6 linked regions of the Macaca fascicularis genome follow. The protein of the gene in region 3 interacts with the protein of the main gene of each other region in a biochemical or structural test. Links are inferred from orthologs where the notes say so. Each region holds a gene or a part of one and is shown on either strand. Other genes may lie near its edges.

Evidence for each region.
Region 1: of the proteins of CDC25C (region 3) and MARK3, one has a biochemical effect on the other in vitro, tested with the Homo sapiens proteins (3 studies listed by BioGRID, with this or other methods). The link is inferred for Macaca fascicularis from reciprocal best matches to the Homo sapiens genes CDC25C and MARK3.
Region 2: of the proteins of CDC25C (region 3) and PLK3, one has a biochemical effect on the other in vitro, tested with the Homo sapiens proteins (2 studies listed by BioGRID, with this or other methods). The link is inferred for Macaca fascicularis from reciprocal best matches to the Homo sapiens genes CDC25C and PLK3.
Region 4: of the proteins of CDC25C (region 3) and CHEK2, one has a biochemical effect on the other in vitro, tested with the Homo sapiens proteins (14 studies listed by BioGRID). The link is inferred for Macaca fascicularis from reciprocal best matches to the Homo sapiens genes CDC25C and CHEK2.
Region 5: of the proteins of CDC25C (region 3) and CDK2, one has a biochemical effect on the other in vitro, tested with the Homo sapiens proteins (3 studies listed by BioGRID). The link is inferred for Macaca fascicularis from reciprocal best matches to the Homo sapiens genes CDC25C and CDK2.
Region 6: of the proteins of CDC25C (region 3) and CHEK1, one has a biochemical effect on the other in vitro, tested with the Homo sapiens proteins (16 studies listed by BioGRID and IntAct, with this or other methods). The link is inferred for Macaca fascicularis from reciprocal best matches to the Homo sapiens genes CDC25C and CHEK1.

The regions. Positions count from the first base shown.
Region 1 is NC_088381.1:171,557,504-171,561,754, reverse strand, and holds the start of MARK3 (MAP/microtubule affinity-regulating kinase 3), read right to left. Parts: upstream 2,801-4,251; 5' UTR 2,667-2,800; exon of another isoform or gene 2,591-2,666; 5' UTR 2,188-2,590; coding exon 2,137-2,187; intron 1-2,136. UniProt on the Homo sapiens protein: Serine/threonine-protein kinase. Involved in the specific phosphorylation of microtubule-associated proteins for MAP2 and MAP4. Phosphorylates the microtubule-associated protein MAPT/TAU. Phosphorylates CDC25C on 'Ser-216'.
Region 2 is NC_088375.1:189,941,727-189,945,710, forward strand, and holds the start of PLK3 (serine/threonine-protein kinase PLK3), read right to left. Parts: upstream 2,801-3,984; 5' UTR 2,721-2,800; coding exon 2,628-2,720; intron 2,362-2,627; exon of another isoform or gene 2,268-2,361; coding exon of another isoform or gene 2,226-2,267; coding exon 2,058-2,225; intron 1,892-2,057; coding exon 1,784-1,891; intron 1,696-1,783; coding exon 1,579-1,695; intron 1,426-1,578; coding exon 1,296-1,425; intron 1,207-1,295; coding exon 1,119-1,206; intron 290-1,118; coding exon 194-289; intron 95-193; coding exon 1-94. UniProt on the Homo sapiens protein: Serine/threonine-protein kinase involved in cell cycle regulation, response to stress and Golgi disassembly. Polo-like kinases act by binding and phosphorylating proteins that are already phosphorylated on a specific motif recognized by the POLO box domains.
Region 3 is NC_088380.1:144,781,430-144,784,036, forward strand, and holds the end of CDC25C (M-phase inducer phosphatase 3), read right to left. Parts: intron 2,505-2,607; coding exon 2,406-2,504; intron 1,873-2,405; coding exon 1,739-1,872; intron 1,374-1,738; coding exon 1,262-1,373; intron 1,084-1,261; coding exon 934-1,083; 3' UTR 501-933; downstream 1-500. UniProt on the Homo sapiens protein: Functions as a dosage-dependent inducer in mitotic control. Tyrosine protein phosphatase required for progression of the cell cycle. When phosphorylated, highly effective in activating G2 cells into prophase.
Region 4 is NC_088384.1:22,972,205-22,975,704, reverse strand, and holds part of CHEK2 (serine/threonine-protein kinase Chk2), read right to left. Parts: intron 3,015-3,500; exon of another isoform or gene 2,877-3,014; coding exon 2,790-2,876; intron 1,740-2,789; coding exon 1,576-1,739; intron 1,108-1,575; coding exon 992-1,107; intron 1-991. UniProt on the Homo sapiens protein: Serine/threonine-protein kinase which is required for checkpoint-mediated cell cycle arrest, activation of DNA repair and apoptosis in response to the presence of DNA double-strand breaks.
Region 5 is NC_088385.1:62,750,864-62,754,345, forward strand, and holds the end of CDK2 (cyclin-dependent kinase 2), read left to right. Parts: intron 1-780; coding exon 781-924; intron 925-1,226; coding exon 1,227-1,430; intron 1,431-1,703; coding exon 1,704-1,808; 3' UTR 1,809-2,982; downstream 2,983-3,482. UniProt on the Homo sapiens protein: Serine/threonine-protein kinase involved in the control of the cell cycle; essential for meiosis, but dispensable for mitosis. Phosphorylates CABLES1, CTNNB1, CDK2AP2, ERCC6, NBN, USP37, p53/TP53, NPM1, CDK7, RB1, BRCA2, MYC, NPAT, EZH2.
Region 6 is NC_088388.1:124,191,544-124,195,043, reverse strand, and holds part of CHEK1 (serine/threonine-protein kinase Chk1), read right to left. Parts: intron 3,468-3,500; coding exon 3,363-3,467; intron 1,436-3,362; coding exon 1,340-1,435; intron 1-1,339. UniProt on the Homo sapiens protein: Serine/threonine-protein kinase which is required for checkpoint-mediated cell cycle arrest and activation of DNA repair in response to the presence of DNA damage or unreplicated DNA.

The sequences.
Region 1 (4,251 bases), on a different chromosome or scaffold from region 3:
CATGGCCGGGCGTGGTGGCTCACGCCTGTGATACCAGCACTTTGGGAGGCCGAAGCAGGCGGATCACCTGAGGTCAGGAGATCGAGACCAGCATGACAAACATGGAGAAACCTCTTCTCTACTAAAAATACAAAATTAGCCCGGAGTGGTGGCGCATGCCTGTAATCCTAGCTACTCAGGAGGCTGAGGCAGGAGAATCACTTGAACCTGGGAGGTGGAAGTTGCAGTGAGCCGAGATCGTGCCACAGCACTCCAGTCTGAGAGACAGAGCCAGACTCCATCTCAAAAAAGAAAGAGAGAAAGAAGACCCATTTGAAATCCTTCATTATCACAAATCTGCTATGACTGTTTTTGGCTTCAGTTTAGAAAGCATGGAGCTCCTACTCTGGTTCAACGTAAAGTTTTGCTTCTCTGAGTGAATATCAATGATCAAAACTAATCAGTTGGGCACACTGGCTCACGCCTGTAATATCAGCACTTTGAGGGGCCGAGGCGGGTGGATCACATGAGGCCAGGAGTTCTAGACCAGCCTGGCCAACATGGTGAAACCCTGTCTACTAAAAATACAAAAATGCAAGCCAGGCGTGGTGGTGCATGCCTGTAATCTCAGCTACTCGGGAGGCTGAGGCATGATAATCACTTCAGCCTGGGAGGCGAAGGCTGCAGTGAGCCAAGATCGCACCACCACACTCCAGCCTGGGAGACAGTCAGCCTGGGAGACAGTCTCGGTCTGTCTCAAAAAAAAAAAAACAAAAAAAGGTTTCTTTAAAAGGACCATAAGAAAATAGTTCCCTGACTCACCTAGTCTAAGAGTTTCTATTACTCGCTCTTTATATAATTTTCTAATCTCTCTCAGGTGGAGAAAGGTACACCACTGTTCTACTCACTAAGGGCTAAAGAGCATTAAATATTATACACTAATATGCTACAGGGATGTTTTAGGCTATGGTTTTACGTTTACAGATTAAATTATCAAATAGCTATCCAGCAAACAAGTGGCATTTTTGAAGATCAAAATTAAAACATTGCCATAACATCTCAGGACATTACTGAAAGCATGAAAACACTCAAAGCAAGGAAGCATTCCCTAAGAGAAGACATTTCGTGCCAGCAATTACCTCATAACACTTTTAATGAAAGGCCAGTGAAGTTTCTTTACAAGTTATTTACTAGACGTTTTACAGAATATAGGCAACAACTAGATTGAAACACTTTTGAAGCCAGTGTTAGAGGAGAGTTCAGAAAACGAACAGAGTTTGTCAAACGTTTCTTCAATGGCATTTCTACTACAAGTTCTCATTCTCTAGCAATGCTGTTCCTGGCATTTTGTAGTTTCACATGCACAAAATCAAAGGTTCCTTTTATAAAATCATAGCCTGTGAGCGCTGAAACGGACCTAAGAGCTCATCTAAGTCAACCTCTTTTTAGGAAGGAGGACAGCGAAGCCCCAGCGGGTGTCCCTCAGCTAGGCAGTGAGTGGCAGAGCACAGCTTCACTATACATCTGCTTTTCTGCTTTTTAAAATGTTTAACTCCTTCAAAAAAGATTTGTATGTAAAGGAACCTATGCCTTAATAAAGGCTGCCCGCTAGTGTTTTGGAATTCCTAAGGGGACCGCAAAGATCCCTCAGTAGACACTTAGTGACTGTGATTAAATTTAGTTCCATCTTAAAAGAACGAGACAGCCCACTTGACTCAATCGATTACTCTTAATCAGCACCAGTACATATGGTATTAATATGATAGTCTCTCAAGAAATGCCTGACCAAGTTAAAAGCAGAGTTCGGTTAAAATAAGCACTGACCACTGCAGTGATCTGACACGCACACTTGCACAATCCATTGAGCGGCAACCCGGCCTCTCAAAGCACCGATTCGTAACGATGCAACTTACGGGCTTTACTAATCGACTAGACTGCAGGCATAATCGATATACTTCGTAGACCCGCCCGCGAACAGCGGGACAGGGCGGACTTCTGGAGGAAACGGTCCGACCTGGCTGCCTCTTGGGTGACTACGGCCTGCCCTCTATTTCCAGAGCGTTCGGGCTGGGGGGGAACACCCGACTGCAAGGCACTGCCCGAGGAGCACGAAGGCCACCCCGAAGGTCCGCCAACTACAACGCCCAGGTTACTTACGTTTTCAGTGTCTCGTTCATTCACCGTTGGCAATGGGGTCCTAGTGGACATTTTACTGCACTTTAATTCTGCACAATGCGAGGGCGAAAACAAAACAGCACAGCCTTAGGAGGCCGGCGACCAGCGTCCTCGAGTCCACGGCAGTTTCGAAGCGGCGCCGTGGGGAAGGCGGCTCCCTTCCCTCTACGGCCGTCTAGATCCCGGGCCTGGCCCGGGCCGTCCCCCGGCGGGTCCCGGGGCTCATTCTCTCCCTGCCCCGGCGGCCGAGGCGAGGAGCCCGGGAGGGCGGCAGTGGCGGAGCCGAGCCTGCGGCGAGCTGCCGGCTTCGGCCCGCCGGCGTCCCCTCGCCTCAGGGCGCCCCGCGATCCCGGGCCCCCTCGCCTCCTTCTCCACTCCCGCCCGTCGCGCCGCGAATTTCAGCTCCCGGGCCTCCACACAGCGCCGCCGGCGGCGTCTGAAAAAGAGGAGGCGGAGGAGGATGTGAAGGAAGTGGAGCGCAAGACAGGCCGCCGCGGGCTGTGGGCGCTGACCATGGAACGGGCTGCGGAGGAGGCGCCTGCGCCCGGCTGCTTCTCCCTCTCTAGCGAGCTTGCTGCCTCAGCCTCCGCCCTGCTGGCCGCCGCTGCTGCCGCCGCACCCCGGCACCTCGGAGCCTCACGGACCCAAGATGGCCGCTCCTCGGCTTCCTCTGCTGCCTCCGGCTGCCGGAAGTGACGACAGGCCGCCTCCCGGAGTCCCGCCAATCAGCGTGGCCTGAGAAAGCCGGCCCGGCTGTTGTTGCTAGGGGCGACTTGGCCCAGACCCCGCCGCGGGGGCGGTGAAGAGGGCGGGGAAGCGCTGGCCGGGTCTCCACTGACTACCGCGGGCGGCGGGTTCCTCCTGTACGGAGCGCTCCGGCAACCCCGAAAGAGCCGAGAAACGGCCCTGGGCGACAGCCAGAGCCCTCCCGCTGAGTTGGCATTTACAGACTACAGGCCTGGGTTGGCTGGATTACAGATCGAGAGCCTACTGTGCACAAAAGTTGCGGTTGCATCCTTCGGACTGCGCTGCACCGACTGGAGCCCCAGCTTTAATGACAGGGCCGGGGCTACGGGAAGGAGCCGGGCTCTTGCATCCTTAACTGTGACCCTGGCGTCAGGCTCTCGCCCACAAACCTTCCCGTCTCCGGATCTGAGCAGCTGCGGGCTGGGCCGGACTCCGAGGGCAGCAGGAGCCTCTTGCCCTCAAGGAGCTGGTGGTCAGGCGGGTGACAGACCTGGACCCAGCTAAATGCCATCCGGATGGAAGAGTGCAATAACGAGGGTGGCACAAAGGGGATGGAGTCGGGGGCGAAATGAATCTGTAGAGGCCCCCAGGGACCAGTTCCTAAATGCCTGTGCGGAATTTATAAGCAGACTTTTCTTACAGTCAGTGCGTCGCTGCTGGAAGACTGGAAGCATCTTTGGGTGCCAGCCTCGGGCCAGACTCGGTAGACGCCTGCAGGCGGGAACCCTGGAAATGCTACCTGACCTAGAAACCTTCCTTGCCCATTCACCTCTTCACGTGTTCGGTGCCTCTACTCAGCTCCTGGCCAGCGGTGGATGGAATCCATGGGTGCAGGGTCCAAAGAGGGAGAGTAGTGTGGGATGGGGGTGACACTAACTGTTACCGAGAGTCGAGTCTACCTTGTAGGTTCATGACATTTGTTACCTCATTTAGCCTCAGGGTAACCCTGTGAGATGGACAGACACACATGCGATCCGAAGTCTAGACAGGTACAGTGACTTGGCTAAAGTACACAGGTTGGTTAGCGACAGAGCTGGGATTCTAACCTAGTTCCCAAAGCTTGGATAATAGGTAAGCCCTTGTAGTGGGTGGCTATGTCATGCTTGCTTCCCCTTTGATCCGTTGGCATCCCAACTGTCTTGCGATGTTTGAGACCTTTCTTGCTCCAGGAAATATATGTATCTTTTTTTTTTTTTTTTGAGACGGAGTCTCGCTCTGTTGCCCAGGCTGGAGTGCAGTGGCGCGATCTCGGCTCACTGCAAGCTCCACCTCCCAGGCTCACGCCATTCTCCTGCCTCAGCCTCCCGAGTAGCTGAGACTACAGGCGCCCACCACCACGCCTGGCTAATT
Region 2 (3,984 bases), on a different chromosome or scaffold from region 3:
GGCAGGCAGCGTGTAGTGAACCTGCTTGATGCAGCGGTACGTCTCCTTCAGGTCAGCTGTCTCAAAGGGAGGGCTCCCGCAGAGCAGCGTGTACCTATAGGGCAGGGCCAAGGGGTCAGGAGTAAAGTGGAGGGGATACCCCACCCACACACCCACCACCTGTCTGCTGCCGAACCTGGACCCTGCGACTCACATGACACAGCCCAGTGACCACACATCCGCCTCGGGCCCATGGCCCTGTCTCAGTAGCACTTCTGGAGCCACATAGTTGGGGGTGCCACAGATGGTCCTGAAAGAGGGTGGGGAGGAGGAGAAAAGGCTGAGACCCAGCCCAGCAGCCCCCCCACCCCTTCCCCCACTGTGAGTCCAGACAAAGCAGCTGCCTGTCACCAAAGGCCAGAGAACTCCTGCTTGTCCTGGGACAATGGATGCCAGGGATGGCAGCTGAGTCCCCGCCCACCCGCCTGGCCCAGCTGCTCAGCTGCTCTTCATGACAGGGGGAGGGCCTGACCCCCAGCCCAGTCCCCTCCTCCAGGGTCAACACAGAGAGTCCACAGCTGATCCCTTCCCCCTTCCTCACTCCTGTCTCTCAGACAGTCATCAGGCTGTCACCTCCCATGGTTTGTGCCACACACACACCAACACCAGCTGTCACAACCCCCATAAACACTTATCTGCCACATATGCTGTCTGTGTCACACACACAAAGTACGATGGCCACAGCAGGGTCTTCTTACACCCAGTGTCATATCCTACCATTCCCACACTCTCAGTCTGTCTCTCACACACAAACACACACACACGCTGCCTGTAACCTTCCCCTATCCACACGAAGGGTAAGTCATATGCCTCCAAGAATCTGTACACCCCTATCTGTCTCAGGGACTCAGGGTCACCTACCCTATCTGTGTCACACACCTATAGGATTCTACCCCTCTCCACTGGTCCCGGTAACACAGGCTGCCACCTCCACCTTCACACATGCATAAACAGCCCCTCATCCCTTCCCATTTATCTCATGCACACATCAAGCAGTCACCTTGCCTCCCACATACATATGCACTGTCTGTCACGCATGTCATCTGTATCACACACAGGCTCCTTTCTTCAAAACTCACTTCTTCCTCTGCTCCGGAGGCTCCAACCGGGCTGCCAGCCCAAAATCCCCCACCTTCAGTTCCATGTTCTCAGTGATGAAAAAATTTCCTAGATGGGGAAAGAGAGGTGTGTCAGATTCTTTCCTTCCTTCCTCCCTCCCTCCCCAACCTCCCATCCTCCAGGCTCAGGAGTCTCACCCAACTTGAGGTCCCGGTGCAAGATGCCGCGCTGGTGCAAGTACTTGAGGCCGGAAAGAATCTGCCGCAGGTAGTAGCGCACTTCTGGCTCCAACAGGGTGTGCCGGGCCTTCCAGATGTGGGCCAGGGACTGCAAAGAGCCACTGCCTCAGCCCCTGGTGAGCCCTCCCTCCCCCTTCCCCTCCATCTGTGCTCCCAGAGGAAGAAACAAGGCCCGAGCTTTGGGTCTTAAGACTCTCTTCTCTCCTTCACCCTCATCCCTGCGGGTATCACCATCTTTCACCTTTCGACTGCAGAGCTCCAGGAAAATGTAGATGTTGTCAGCGTCCTCAAAGTGGTGCGAAAAACGCACGATGTGGCGGTGCTGCAGGTCTCGGTGCAGCTCAATCTCATTTAGGATCTGCGATGAGGGCGCAGGGTCGTCATCCTTCCATGGTTCCCATGCCACCGTCCCCACCCCACCCCTCGCCCGCTGAGCCTGGACCTACCTTCTCGCGCTGATGCGGCTTGGCGACGCGGCTCTGCGGGATGACTTTGACAGCGTAGGCGCTGCCAGTCTCTGTGTCAGTGGCCTCGTAGCAGCGGGCGAAGCCCCCCTGTGAAGAGGGGGCGTCAGGCTGGGTGTTCCAGGGGGGCCGACTCTGGCCCGCGGGCGTCCCCGCGTTGGGGGTCAAGTGGCCACGCCCGGCTTGGTGCCAGAAATGAGGCCGGCCGAGACCCCCACCTCCACCATCACCACCCCGCGGACGTCCCCCGGCCCACCTTGCCCAACAAGCGGCCTTTGAAGTAGGTGCGGCCACTGCGCGGGTCCGTGATGAGGCGCCCGGGGTCTGACGTCGGTAGCCCGGCCAGCATCTCCAGCTCAGGTCCGGGCAAGGCACTCGGAGGCGGCCCGGGCCCGGCCGGGGGAGCGGGCTCGGCGGCCGCACGCTGGAAGGGGCGCGGGGACAGGAAACCAGTGGCGGGCTCCATGCGGGCGGCGCGTCGCAGCGCGGGCCCGGCTTCTTCTCGGTTCCGCCCGGCCCCGGCCGCGCGTGGCGCTGCCTGTATTTGCTACGCTGCGCTCGCGCCCGGGGGAGCCCAGCGTTTTTATCAATGAACGCCTGCCCCCTCCCCGGCGTCTCGTCACCAAGAGTCCCGCCCCCTTCCTGGCAGCGAGTCGAGGAGAGGCCCCTCCCATGCCCGGCCTTACATCACCCAGAAGCTCCTCCCCCCCGCAACGCACTGCCAGGCCCCGCCTCCTGGCTGCGCCCCGGGGCGCAGCCCGGCAGCTAGTCACCATGCAGGTGCTACCAGGCCGCCGGGGCCAGCTGATCCCTGTCCGCTTCTCACCCCTCCTTGGCCACTGCGAGTCCCGCTCATGGGGGCCTCTTTCTTTCCCCATCCTTCGGGGCGTGTGCTGAAGTCCGAGTGGGGCCCGGGCATCTGGGGGCGTCCCCCAGCAACTAGATAGATCAGCGTTCCAGCCAGCAGCTGAGAGGCAGGGGCGGCGCTCGCTTTTCCCCAGGCGTGTCACCCGACACTCCCCTTTCAGTGTGCCGGACCGCGTGTGTCCCTCCCCCTCGCCCGGGGCCCGGCCCAGTGCTGCCCTCTTTAGGGCCTGGAAGGAAGGCACAGTCTCGCGCCTGGCTTGCCTGGCCTGAGGGCTGCCTTGCCAGGTTTAGGAGTCCAGTCAAGCAGAGACTGGACCCTTTTACCATGCTCCAGGCCACATCTTCCGCTACCCACTTCTACACTCTTGAGGGGCAGATTTCGGGTTCCTGCGGGGTCCCCAATTCCCTTCCTCTGAAAATACCCGCGGGCCTGGGTCAGCAGCCAGAAGGCCAGAAAGTGAATGGGAATTGGATTTTCTTTTTTCTTTTTTTTTTTTTTTTGAGACGGAGTCTCACTGTGTCGCCCAGGTTGGAGTGCAGTGGCGCAATCTCCGCTCACTGCAAGCTCTGCCGCCTCCCAGGTTCACGCCATTCTCCTGGCTCAGCCACCCTAGAAGCTGGGACTACAGGGTGCCCGCCACCACGCCCGGCTAATTTTTTTTGTATTTTTAGTATAGTAGAGATGGGGTTTCATCGTGTTTGCCAGGATGATCTCGATCTCCTGACCTCGTGATCCGCCCGCCTCGGCCTCCCAAAGTGCTGGGATTACAGGCGTGAGCCACCGCGCCCGGCCCTTTTTTTTTTTTTTTTTTTTTTTTTTTTGAGACAGAGTTTCGCTCTTGTTGCCCAGGCTGGAGTGCAATGGCGCGATCTTGACTCACCCCAAACTCTGCCTTCCAAGTTCAAGCGATTCTCCTGCCTCAGCCTCCCAAGCAGCTGGGATTACAGGCGTGCGCCATCACACCCGGCTAATTTTGTATTTTTTTTTTTTTTAAGTAGAGATAGGGTTTCTCCACGTTGGTCAGACTGATCTGGAACTCCCAGCCTCAGGTGATCTGCCCACTTCAGCCTCCCAAAGTGTTGGGATTACAGGCGTGAGCCACCGCGCCTGGCCGGGAATTGGATTTTCTCAAATGCTAGACACGGGCAATTGGGCAGCTAGTCTCTGGACCATGTGGACCCCTAGACCCCTGCGCAATGCCCGAGACAGAGGCCCAAGACCACAGGTCTCCTAGCCTTGTCTCTCACCTCTCTGCCCACCCTCTGCACCAGCCAATCAATTACCATGCCATTCCTCAAAAGATTTATTGAGAGCA
Region 3 (2,607 bases):
GGCCGAACATCTGTATTTCAAACAAGTTCAGATCATGTTGATGATCTAGGGTCCAAACTTTGAGAATTACTGGTTTTTTGTTTTGTTTTTGTTTTCTGAGACAGAGTCTCTCTCTGTTGCCCAGGTTGGAGTGCAGTGGCACGATCTCATTGCAACCTTCACCTCCTGAGTTCAAGCGATTCTCCTGTGTCAGTTTCCTGAGTAGCTGGGACTACAGGAGCATGCCACCATGCTGGCTAATTTTTGTATTTTTAGTAGAGATGGGGGTCTCACCATGTTGGCAAGGTTGGCCTCGAACTCCTGACCTCAAGTGATCCACCCACTACGGTCTCCCAAAGTGCCAGGATTACAGATGTAAGCCACGGCCTAAGAATTGCTGGTTTAGAGAAAAGCATGTTGGCCTCAGCTGAGAATAAAGATAATATGTCTGAAGTAGTCTAACTTGGTGATCTCCTCTGTAGACAGATCTTCTAGGAGCAGGCTAGGCTCACAATCACACGTCTCATTCTGTAGTGTTTATTTTTCCATTTTTAAAATAGAGGGGGAAACAAAGAAGGAAAATACAAAGAAAGAGGGTAGACAACTCTCTTGCACAGCCAGAAGCCCAGAGAGAAAGAGTTGGCTGGCCTGTGAGAAGACACGAGGAGTTGGGAAGAGGAATGCCAGAGTTCCCTGAACCAACAAAAATCTCTCTGCAACTCAAGTCTGCCACTCTTATAGAGCTCTTATAGAGCCACTCCAGGACTCTGCCACCAGCTTTCAGCTCTGCTGAAACCGAAGCCATTCCCAGGCCTGTACACAAGTTGGCAGCCTGGTGGTTTGCAGAGACATCTTTTGATAATCTTGGGTTTGGCCATCCAGAAGGCCTCTTTCTGCTCAGGGTTTCTGCAGTGTCTTTTGGTGACTCGTTAGCAGCCAGTGGTTGGAATGTTGTCACGGGCTCACATCCTTCACCAGAAGGGCAATCTGCTCCCGCAGCTGCCGCTCCCCTTCCTGCACTTTGCTCTGGCTTCGACACCTCAGCAACTCAGCCTTGTGGTCCTGATGATGCATAGGGCAGTAGCTCTGTGGTTCACACAGCTCCTGAAAGGTAAGGAACAGAGTAAGGGATTCTCTAGACTCCTGAACTCTACCTACGAAGGATAATAGAGGTGCTGCTGCTGGCAGTGGCCACGGAGGAGCAGCAGTTTCTTCTCTGAGGGCTTTGCAGGCCCTGGGAGTTGCATGCTAAAATTGGCTCCCCGCATGCCCCACCCTTTACCAAATATTCTGGAAAGAAGTCTCTGTAGCCGCCTTTAAGGATATATAGCTCTGGGTAGTACAATGCAGGATACTGGTTCAGAGACCTGTCCTCTTCACGCAGAGAGCGGCACCTTTAGAGAGAACCCAGAGATGGGTGGGGTGGAAAGAAACAAGGTCAGGATCCCAGGGGCTATTCACTGGGCAGGGAGGAGAGGAATAGACTATTGCCAACCTCAACAAGGACCTTCCAATCTCACTGTGTTTGCAAAAAAAAGGTCCAAGTAGCACCACCCTTCCTCCTTTCCTCCACTGCGGTCTCATTCTCAAGTCCCTTTTCCTTTATTGTTTCATACTTTTCAATTTTAGAAACGTCTTCCTTCAACCTCCCTAACATTCTTCAAACTGTAGAATCCAGTCAGTCTCTGTCTGAACTGGTGTGGGAAGTCCAACTCAAAATCCATTTCCATCACCCGCCAGACCCCATTTAGACACTCACATTCGGGGGCCCCTCTCTGAGGAGAATTCACAGTGGAACACGATGATTATTCTCTTCTGGGTGTCCAAAGGGACAATGGGCTTCTTTAGAAAGAAGCTAAACAGTTCTTCCTGACTATACAAGTTTAAGGCTCCCTGTAGAAAAAGAATTTTAGTATTTCCTCAGGGGCTTATAGACAGTGCCAATACTTAGAAATGACTGAGACACCAACCTGGGATAATTTGGACCAGAAAAGCTGGACTATCAGCACCTTTAGGGCAGGGGTCTAAATATATCTCTGTATATACCCTGAACGCCTGGCATAGAGCTTGGTATGTAGTAGATGGTCAATAAATATTCATAGAACTGAACTACTGGAAGTATAGGGATCACTGCGAGGAATGTTCATGAATATTAAGTGTTTGCAAAGTGCTTTAGTCCTTGGATTCATGTTTTTATTTCTAGGTAGGACCCCTTGGCTCCTACAGAAAAGAGGGAGATAGATCTAGGAAGGAAAGGGAAAGTAAGCTGCTTAAGGTATACAGAATTAAAACAATGAGGACCTCAGCCTTGATGTGCTTCAAATATGTAATCTTTGTCCTAATTCTAGGCCCCTTTGTCCACAGACTCTTCTCAATAAAGAGCTATCTCCAGTACTCCCCTACTAATGGCCACCATGTCATCTCACCTGGATGTGTCCTCCCAGGTACTCATATGGATAGCGACAATCAATGACATAAAACTTCTCAATCAGACCCTGGAACTTCCCCGACAGTAAGGCAGCCACCTGGACAGAAACAATGACTGAATATTCTGCTCACTACAACTCTGAGTGAGAGAAGGGTCAATGACACAGTTCCTTACAAGCATACTCCTGTTATGTCCACTGT
Region 4 (3,500 bases), on a different chromosome or scaffold from region 3:
TCACAGTGAAAAGGATAAATATATTAAATCGTAATAGTATGCCAGAATTAACAGGCCACCATCCAGAAAGAGCAGAGAGGGTCTGAGATCATCACAGAGTCAGCAGACAGGGCCCCCTAATCTTCCTCACTCTCTGTATTCAGAGTACTATGAGAAGACCAGGAATGATAATGACACTCCCTGTCTCCTGCTGCTGGGATGTCAGTCACGACCTCTTCGCTGCCTGTTCCCTCTCTTGTTGCCTGTTGACTCAAGGTCAAACTAATTAAAGCTAAACTTCCACCCAATTCTAAGATACTTGGGATACGTAGCAAACTCTCCCTGACATCTACAGATGGATGGGTGAGAGTTACTCAGCCAGGGAGAGGATTCCTGGAACTGCAGACTTGTCAGAAATAAAACTTGACTACTCCAGCAAGCAACAAATGCACGCTGGCTTGTATATTACAACACTATTATTCCTTAAATATTCTGACATTTAACACAATCACCTATGTTATATTATTTGACATTTAATTTTCTACTTTCTCTTTGGGGAACTAAAGTTGCCAGGATAAATTATAAAATACAAGGTAACTAATGACATCTAGTTTTTACATGCTTGCTTACTCAAAGGAAACCCTGTAACTAAAAAGTTACAAGTGCACTTTTTTGGGCACTAAAATAGGTACCAGGCACTTGTGTACATTATACTTAACCCTTACAAAAACCTTTTAAGGTAGGGATTATTGAGGGTCCCTTTACACAGAAAGAAATTGGAGACAGAGGTTAAATAACTTGCCTAAGGCCACACAGCTAAGTAGTAGCAGACCCAGGACCTGAGTGCACACTCTTAATAATTTCCAGTGCCTCTCAAATGGTGTGAAACTAACAACAGAAAATAAGAACAGAATTGACAGGAGAAAACACCATGGAATTTGGAAAGAAACTCCCACCACAGCAAATACACATTTTAGCATACCACAAATTCTTAACCCTTTCGTATTCATACCCTTCTCTGAGACCTCTGCCCAGACTTCAGGAATGAAGTTGTATTTTCCACTGGTGATCTGATCCTTCAGTGACACTTGAGTCCTATGCTCAGAGAAAGGTGGATACCCACTAAGGCTTAATATTGGTAGAGAGAGAAAGGAAAAGAAATCAAGTGGCATTCTCAGTGGCATTCAGATATGAAGATTTCTTTCTCAGCATAATGAAAAGTCAAGATTTTTCTTTATATCAATGGTCAAAAAGTGAGCTAGGCTGGGCACAATGGCTCATGCTTGTAATCCCAGCACTCTGGGAGGCTGAGGCAGGAGGATCACTTGAGCCCAGGAGTTCGAGACCAGCCTGGGCAACATGGCAAAATTCCATCACTACAAAAAATAGAAAAATTAGCTGGGCATGGTGGTGTGCGCCTGTAGTCCCAGCTAGTCAGGAGGCTGAGGTGGGAGGATCACTTGACCCTGGACGCAGAGGCTACAGTTAGCCAAAATCAAGCCACTGCATGCCAGCCTGGACAACACAGCAAGACACATTTGTGACTTCATTTAATCACCTCCTACCAGTCTGTGAAGCAATGAAAATGTTTCTTACCAGATAAAAAGAATAACTCCTAAACTCCAGCAGTCCACAGCACGGTTATATCCAGCAGTCCCAACAGAAACAAGAACTTCAGGAGCCAAGTAGGTGGGGGTTCCACATAAGGTTCTCATGAGAGAGGTCTCCCCCAAAATTTTGGAGTGCCCAAAATCAGTAATCTAAAATTCAGTACAAAAGGGGATAATGTTGAACTATGTCATAAATAAAAAGATTAACATAGTCTGCCAGTCCAAGAAGACATGTAGGCTAGATCAGTTTCTATTGTACAATTCACACCTGCCATTAATCTGGAATCTACAGATTCATGTCTTTGCAAGTTAAGACATTTAATTTTGCTTAAATTAAAATTCCTGAGCCTAGGAATATCAACACTCAGGCTTTCCAACTTAACCTATGTCCCCTGTAATCTTACAAAAAGCTTATTGCCATTATCACAGACACTTCAGGATTCTAATTAGTTCTATGTGGTTCTTAGGCCCCAGTGTCTCAAACTTGGCTGCACTATGGAATACCTGGGGAGCTTGGAAACACATGCTTATAACTGAGTGCCACTCTCAGCTTCTGAGGTAAAGCCTGGATGTCATAAATCCTAACAAGAGATTCTAAAGTGATGCCAGGCTTGAGAAACACGGAAAGGCAGGGCACGTGATTACTCATTCATTCATTCATTCATTCATTCACCTATTCTGAGATGATGTCTCGACCTTTTGCACAGGCTGGAGGACAGTGGTGCGATCTTAGCTCACTGCAACCTCTGCCTCCCAGGTTCAAGTGATTCTCGTGCCTCAGCCTCCCAAGTAGCTGGGATTACAGGCACCCACCACCATGCCCAGCTAAATTTTTGTATTTTTAGTAGAGATGGGGTTTTGCCATGTTGGCCAGGCTGGTCTCAAACCCCTGACCTCAGGTGATCTGCCTGCCTCGGCCTCCCAAAGTGCTGGGATTACAGGTGTGAGCCACCGTGCCCAGGCCACTAGTCCATTTAGACCCCTCCTCTCTCTCTCTCAGCACAAAGGTCACTTGCACACAACAGAGCTCAATAAATGCTCATTCAAATCTGGATAAGAGCAATGTCACCTGATCTCTAAAATAATTGGTAAGAGGTCAGATTCTCAACCTTTTAACACTCCCACTTTTTATTTGAGGAATTAAAAGTTTCTGAACAAGAATCTACAGGAATAGCCACATACAGAATGCCAATTTCTTACCTTTATAAGACAGTCCTCTTCTTGAGATGACAGTAAAACATTCTCTGGCTTTAAGTCACGGTGTATAATACCGTTTTCATGAAGGTACTACACAGAAAGGCAGGCATGACCCTCAGATTCATGCAGTAGATAAGTAGAATCAAAGTTACCAACACACACATCTCACAGCTGGGTGAAACCGTAAGCCGTGATACACACAATCATATTGTCCAAAATCATAGAAAACTGTTGGGGTAAAGTTTACAAATTTGTTTGAGAAGATCTTTAAAAAGCAGGGAAATGAAAAAAGCAACTTAGAACAATCAACCTTTCATTTCACTTTAAGATAATAAACAACCCTTCACGTGGCAGAAATGTAAGGTGTCAATTTCAATACAAATACAAATGGGTAATAGAAAATGTTTTGCGAACATACCAAATAAACACAAAAATTCAACCAAAATGATATATTTGGTTATTGCAGTCCTGGGAATATTTTTAAAGGGAATCTATACAAATATATATTTGTAGGCCGGGCGTGGTGGCTCAAGCCTGTAATCCCAGCACTTTGGGAGGCCGAGACGGGCGGATCACGAGGTCAGGAGATCGAGACCATCCTGGCTAACACAGTGAAACCCCGTCTCTACTAAAAAGTACAAAAAAAAAAAAACTAGCCAGGCGAGGTGGCGAGCGCCTGTAGTCCCAGCTACTCGGGAGGCTGAGCCAGGAGAA
Region 5 (3,482 bases), on a different chromosome or scaffold from region 3:
TTATCCCTGAAATGACATAAAGCATTTCTGCAGCCATTTTAGCTGAGTCTGCATATATTTGGGAGAATGATTCCATTTAGTGCCTCTTTTATTTCAGGCCTTCATTTCAAGGCTTGTAGACCTTATTGTGTGGTGCCAGCAATGTAGTAAAGACAATTGTGGTCACTTTATCCACACCCTTCATTTAAATTGCAGATTTAGGCAGAGTGCAGTGGCTCACACCTATAGTCCCAGCACTGTGGGAAGCTGAGGTATAGGTGGATCACCTGAGGTCAGGAGTTCGAGACCAGCCTGGCCAAAATGGTGAAACCCCATCTGTACTAAAAAAACAAAAATTAGCCAGGTGTGGTGGCACACACCTGTAATCCCAGCTACTTGGGAGGCCAAGGCAGGAGAATCGCTTGAACCCAGGAGATGGAGGTTGCAGTGAGCCAAGATCGCACCACTGCACTCCAGCCTGGGCGACAGAACGAGATTCCATCTCAAAAAAAAAAAAAAAGAAGATTTAGATCATGTCCCCCTTCAACCTCTGGCTTTTCAGATTGAAGGATCCTTGAGGCCTGGCTTTATGTAGAAGCTCCTATCTCCTTTAATACAACAGTGCAGTGCAGTAGGCTGAGGCTTCAAATCAGCAATATGTTTTATTGTCTTTTATCTGGGTTGTAACCAACAGCTTAAAGACCATTAGCCTGTACATATGTAATGTGCATTTATCCCCCAGTGCATTACCTTACAATTGTCCATATTCCTCTCTCAATTCATCCAAAAATATTTGTTAAGCACCTAGTGGGTAGCCAGCACCATGCTAGGTACTGTGGGGAACACAGAAGAAATGGAAGACAGAGCCTCTGCCCGCTGTGCTCCTATCTAGAAGTGGCTGCATCACAAGGTTGGGGGATGACTGCAGTGTCTACCCCATACCCCGTGAGTGGCTTGGGATCCCTTTGCTACATGTCAGTGGCATCGCAGACATTCAGCCCCTCCCAGACCCACCCAGCCTTGGGGATCTGCAAAGCCATGGTTGGGGGAAGGAAGGAGGGGGCGAGGAGACAGATGAAGGGACTTCATTGTCTCAGGTTCTGTGTGACTGACCCCATGAAAGGCCCTGGGGAGGGAGTCATGGGGCCCTGCTGACCTTCTACTGTCTGTGGGAACTCCTTTGTATAGAGGAGAGTTTTGACTGACTTCAACATAGGTCTTGGTATTTTCTCTTTCCCCATTTTCAGGTGACTCGCCGGGCCCTATTCCCTGGAGATTCTGAGATTGACCAGCTCTTCCGGATCTTTCGGACTCTGGGGACCCCAGATGAGGTGGTGTGGCCAGGAGTTACTTCTATGCCTGATTACAAGCCAAGTTTCCCCAAGTGGGCCCGGCAAGATTTTAGTAAAGTTGTACCTCCCCTGGATGAAGATGGACGGAGCTTGTTATCGGTGAGAGTGGGCACCTGTTTTCCCTCATTCATTTCTCCCAGGGAAGGGCTTTTCCAGGATGAAGGAAGGATGAGACCCTGAAATCTGGGCCTCAGTATTTTGTTTCCCTGGTTCCTGCTCTCCCTGTTGGCACACTGATTCAGCTATGGGAGGATGGAAGTAAGAATTCCGCCTTGGGTAGAAGGAGTTCTGGTTTCCTGATTTCTGGGAACATCTGCTGCCCATTTAGTCCACTATCACATGATTGAAGTCAACATACATCTCTCCCTCTAGCAAATGCTGCACTACGATCCTAACAAGCGGATTTCGGCCAAGGCAGCCCTGGCTCACCCTTTCTTCCAGGATGTGACCAAGCCAGTACCCCATCTTCGACTCTGATAGCCTTCTCGAAGCCTCCAGCCCTAATCTCACCCTCTGCTCCAGTGTGGGCTTGACCTGGCTTGGCCTTGGGCTATTTGGACTCAGGTGGGCCCTCTGATCTTGCCTTAAACACTCACCTTCTAGTCTTGGCCAGCCAACTCTGGGAATACAGGGGTGAAAGGGAGGAACCAGTGAAAATGAAAGGAAGTTTCAGTATTAGATGCACTTAAGTTAGCCTCCACCACCCTTTCCCCCTTCTCTTAGTTACTGCTGAAGAGGGTTGCTATTAAAAAAAAAAAAAAAGAAAAAAAAAAAAAGCCTTCCTACATGTTAGATTTGCCGTACCAATCTCTGAATGCCCCGTAATTATTATTTCCAGTGTTTGAGATGACCAGGATCCCAAGCCTCCTGCTGCCGCAATGTTTGTAAAGGCCAAATGATAGCAGGGGGCTAAGTTGGAACTTTTGAGAACCAAGTCAAACAAAACCACTGGGAGGAGTCTATTTTAAAGAATTCGGTTGAAAAAATAGATCCAATCAGTTTATACCCTAGTTAGTGTTCTGCCTCACCTAATAGGCTGGGAGACTCAAGACTCAGCCTGGGTGGGGCTGCAGAAAAATGATTGGCCCCAGTCCCCTTGTTTGTCCCTTCTACAGGCATGAGGAATTTGGGAGGCCCTGGGACAGGGATTGTGCTTCATTCCAATCTATTGCTTCACCATGGCCTTATGAGGCAGGTGAGAGATGTTTGAATTTTTCTCTTCCTTTTAGTATTCTTAGTTCTTCAGTTGCCAGGGATCCCTGATCCCGTTTTCCTCTGAAGTCCACCTCCTACCCCATAGGAGTTGGAAATTAGGGTTTAGGCATCATTTTGAGAGTACTGACACTTTTTCAGGGCTGTGATTGAGTGAGGGCATGGGCAAAAATATTTCTTTAAAAGAAGGATGAACAATTATATTTATATTTCAGGTTATATCCCATAGGAAGGTTGGCTTTTTTTTTTTTTTTTTTGGTTAGAGTGGGTGGATTTGTTGCCATGTGCACCTTCGGGTTTTGTAATGACAGTGCTTAAAAAAAAAAAAGCATTTTTTTTTGTTTATGATTTGTTTCTGTCACCCTTGTCCTTGAGTGCTCTTGCTATTAACGTTATTTGTAATTTAGTTTGTAGTTCATTAAAAAAATGTGCCTAGTTTTATAGTTCATCTCTTTCCTATTTACTGAAAGAATGGTGAGAAACAGAATATGAATATGTATATGTGATCATTGATTTCGGACCCCTTTTCCTAATCTCTCTGTGCATGGCCACCCACCCCACCCCATTTTGGCTAGTGCTGACAGTGAACAAAGTGGTTATTATCGTTCCTATTTATGGCTGGGGAAACTGAAGTCTATATACTTCCTACTTTCTCCACACACCAGCAAACTTCCTTTCCCCCAGCCAACATACCACACACACACAACACACCACATACACACCATATATGCACACACACACACCCCCATGCACATACATAGCGGCAGGAAAAGGGCTCCCGGGGAATTTGCCTCTCGACACTGCATTTCCCAGTAAGCCCGCCCTTTTTCCTTTCTGTTTCATATCACAAACAGCAAAGTTTTCCAAAGATTATTTTATTTACATTTACATACGATTCTGAAAAAGCGTCTCCAAGCTACCACTTCTTGTAGTTGCCAT
Region 6 (3,500 bases), on a different chromosome or scaffold from region 3:
AAGGTCAAGTAACAGTGAAGTCAGGATATTAGGAGGATCATCCAAATAAATATTTAAATCACCAAGAATCATGACGAAAATTACATCAAGGGTCATTATGGAGACTATGATAGTATGGCAGAAATTTTAATTGGGGGTTCAAAAGTTAGAGGGGAGAGACATACAGGAAGATGGGAGAAAGTAACAATGAAAAATAAGGAGGACACTTGTGCCATATCCAGATCAAAGGACATGAGGGTATGGGAAAGAAAATACCTACCACTTCAGAGGAAGCAGTGTCCTCAGGGGAGAATTGGACTTTAAGTTAGAACAACGAGAAAGAAACAGGCAGAGAGGTATTAAAGAAGAATGAATTTTTAAACATTAACTCTTTTCTTTCCATGAGGACAGAGTTAAATATTAATTCTTCTTTAATAACTCTCTGAATGTTTCTCATTCATAATCTCTAGTCATTGTCCTCTCTCCTCCCATTCACAGCCTAACAGTCCTATCAATACTAGTTCTTAAATTTCTTTGGGATCATCTCATCTCTCCAATACCACTGCCCTAACCTACTCCAAGCCACCATCTTACCACAACTAGACAACTAGCAGAAAAACTACGGTACCCTGAATCTTTCCCTATTCATAAAAAACAATGGAGGTGGGGGGGAAGGTCATCAGAGAGATATTTTTAAACCAAAGATATGACTATGTCATATTCTTGCTTAAAATCTCCCAAAGGTCTCCCCAGTGGTCTTAAGTTAAAGCCCCAAATCCTTAACATGGCTTACAAGGTCTTCTTCCACAAACGGGCCACTAGTGACCTCTCTGTCCTCATCTCACACCTCTCTTCCTCTCCCACTTCCCTGTTCACTCATTCACTCAACAAATATTTAATGAGTGCCTATGGTGCACCATATACTGTGCTAAGCACTGACGATGCAATGATGAACACAGCAGACATGGCTCGTGCCATACTGATCTTTCAAGTTTCTCAAATGCATCAGACTTTCAAAAACCTAAGAGTTTTCAAATACTGCTTCCCCTGTTCAGAATCAAATCTGCCACTTACTTTGCCTGGCTAGCTTCCCTTTAATCTTCAAATCTTAGATTTAATGTAATTTCTTCAGGAAGAAGTCTTCCCTGTCCCTTAGACTTGGTCAAACACTTAGCTATAGTTCCCTGACTTTCCCTTTTATAATTATTAATAAAATTATTTTTATATTTTTTTCCTAGTAGACATTATAATCTCCATGAGGACAGAGATCATAGCCATCATGTGTTGTTGATTTGTGATAATGACTTTGCAATTACCTTTTCTTCCACAGAAAAACAAACATGTAGTTTAAGGATATTACCTTTCTTGAGGGGTTTGTTGTACCATCTATCTTTTTTGATGTCTGGAATGGTAATTCTTGCTGATGGATTCTCAACTAGGATTTTATGCAGCAGAGCTAAAAACAAACATTAAGACAACATTCATGAAAGCGTCACGGAGATTCGAGAAGCCTATGGCTTGCGGTAAGAAACACATTTTCTGTTGGCCTACTCATGTCTAAATATTATTTCTGGGGAAGAGAAAGAATTAAAGCTACTAAATTATTGCTTTAATTTCATGCGGTTTTTCTCTGCTGCTGTCTATATCTTGGAATAGTCTTCCCTTGATCTGATTCTCAAATGTTTGCAACTGAGAACAAGAGCCAGGTGGAAATGTTTCTCCTCATGTGACAAGATTAACAAAAAGATACAGAAACCCCCTTATATCCGTTTTCAATACTGAATTTCATTACTTCAATGTCATGTTCTCACGTGACCCCCTTATTCAGTTTTATAATGAACATTTACTTACCAATAACTTTTAAAGAGACAGTAATCTAACCATCCTAAGGTATCTTGATTTTCTTGAGAAAAAATTCATATATCTCCCTACATCAAAATTATTTCCTAATGGACCAAAGATTTAAATGTAAAAATGAAGCCATAAAACCATTAAATGAAAAAATAGGGAACTTTTAAATAGTAGAGGTAGAAGACCTTTCCAAAGACATTATAGTCAGGGACCACAAAGGACAAGATAATAGATTTGAATGTCAATATAGCAAAACAAAATGAAAATAAATGATAAACTGTGAAAAGTATTTGTAACAAGTGCAAAGGTCAATATGTTACAAAAAAAAAAACAAAACTTCAAACTGGTAAGAAAAATATGCTTGACAAAAATGAGCAAAATAGACAAAAAACTAACATATAAATAAAGTGTATACAACTTCATTAGTATTAAATTTAAAATAAAAATAAAAGACTATCATTTAAAGGCCTGTTAGTTTTTTGTTTTTTTTTTTTAATGTAAATTGATGAGACTGTGATGAAATGGTTTGAACTTTCAGGAAGCAATTTGACAAAATAAGCCATAATAATAAAAACTACATCTTTGATGCTGCAATTTTGCTTCTGGGGATTTCAATGAACAATTTAAGGGTATGCGTCATGATTAAGTTACACAGATACTTATATCTCTTTCGTATCTGTGAAAATTTAGAAAAATCTCCAACAAAGTGATTAAAAGAGTATCATAAGGCATATCCACATGGCAGAATATCATCACAGCCTTTAAAACAACGACGTAGACCTACAATTATAGTCATGGAAGAATGTTCACTGCACATGAAAACCAAAAGCAGTTACAAAATATTAGTGTTATCTCATTTTGTATAAAAACACATATAAATAATATACATATATTCATTTTACATACTCATGGGCCACATGAATGATGTTTCAGTCAAGAATGGACCACATGTATAACAGACAGTCCCATTAGATTATAACACTGTATTTTTACTATACTTTTCCTATATTTAGATACACAAATACCATTATGTTACAATTCCTTACAGTACTCAATAGAGTAACATGCTATAGAGGTTTGCAGCCTGGGACCAATAGGCTATACCATATAGCTAGATTTATAGTAAGCTGTACTATCTAGATTTATGTAAGTATACTCTATGATGTTCACACAATGATGAACTCACCTAAGGAAACAACTGTTAGAGTGCATCCCTATAATTAAGCAACAAATGAGTTTATTTGTAACAAAGTATAGCACATGTGAAAACTTTTTTTTTTTTTAAGTAAAAAGCCACCTAAGAGCACAGATTCAACTTGCTCTGAATATACACTCCCCAAAATATTTTTAAAAATCTATGGCAGAGTTCTGGGATGAAAGAGTTATTTTTTCCTTAATTTTTACTTATAGTTACCAATTTATCTACAAGATTCATGAATTATTTCTAAGTTTAAAACAAAAAAATAAGAAAAAATTCAAATAGCACAAGACTTCAAGAAATCAGTACTCTTTCACTCAAGATAATCCGTTACCTAGAGGAGCAGAATCGATTTTTTTCCAAGGGTTGAGGTATGTTTTTTTTTCTTTCCAGTCAGAATATTCCTGACAGCTGTCACTGGGTTGGTCCCATGGCAATTCTAAAAACAAAGCAAGTCCCAGTTTTTTTTAAT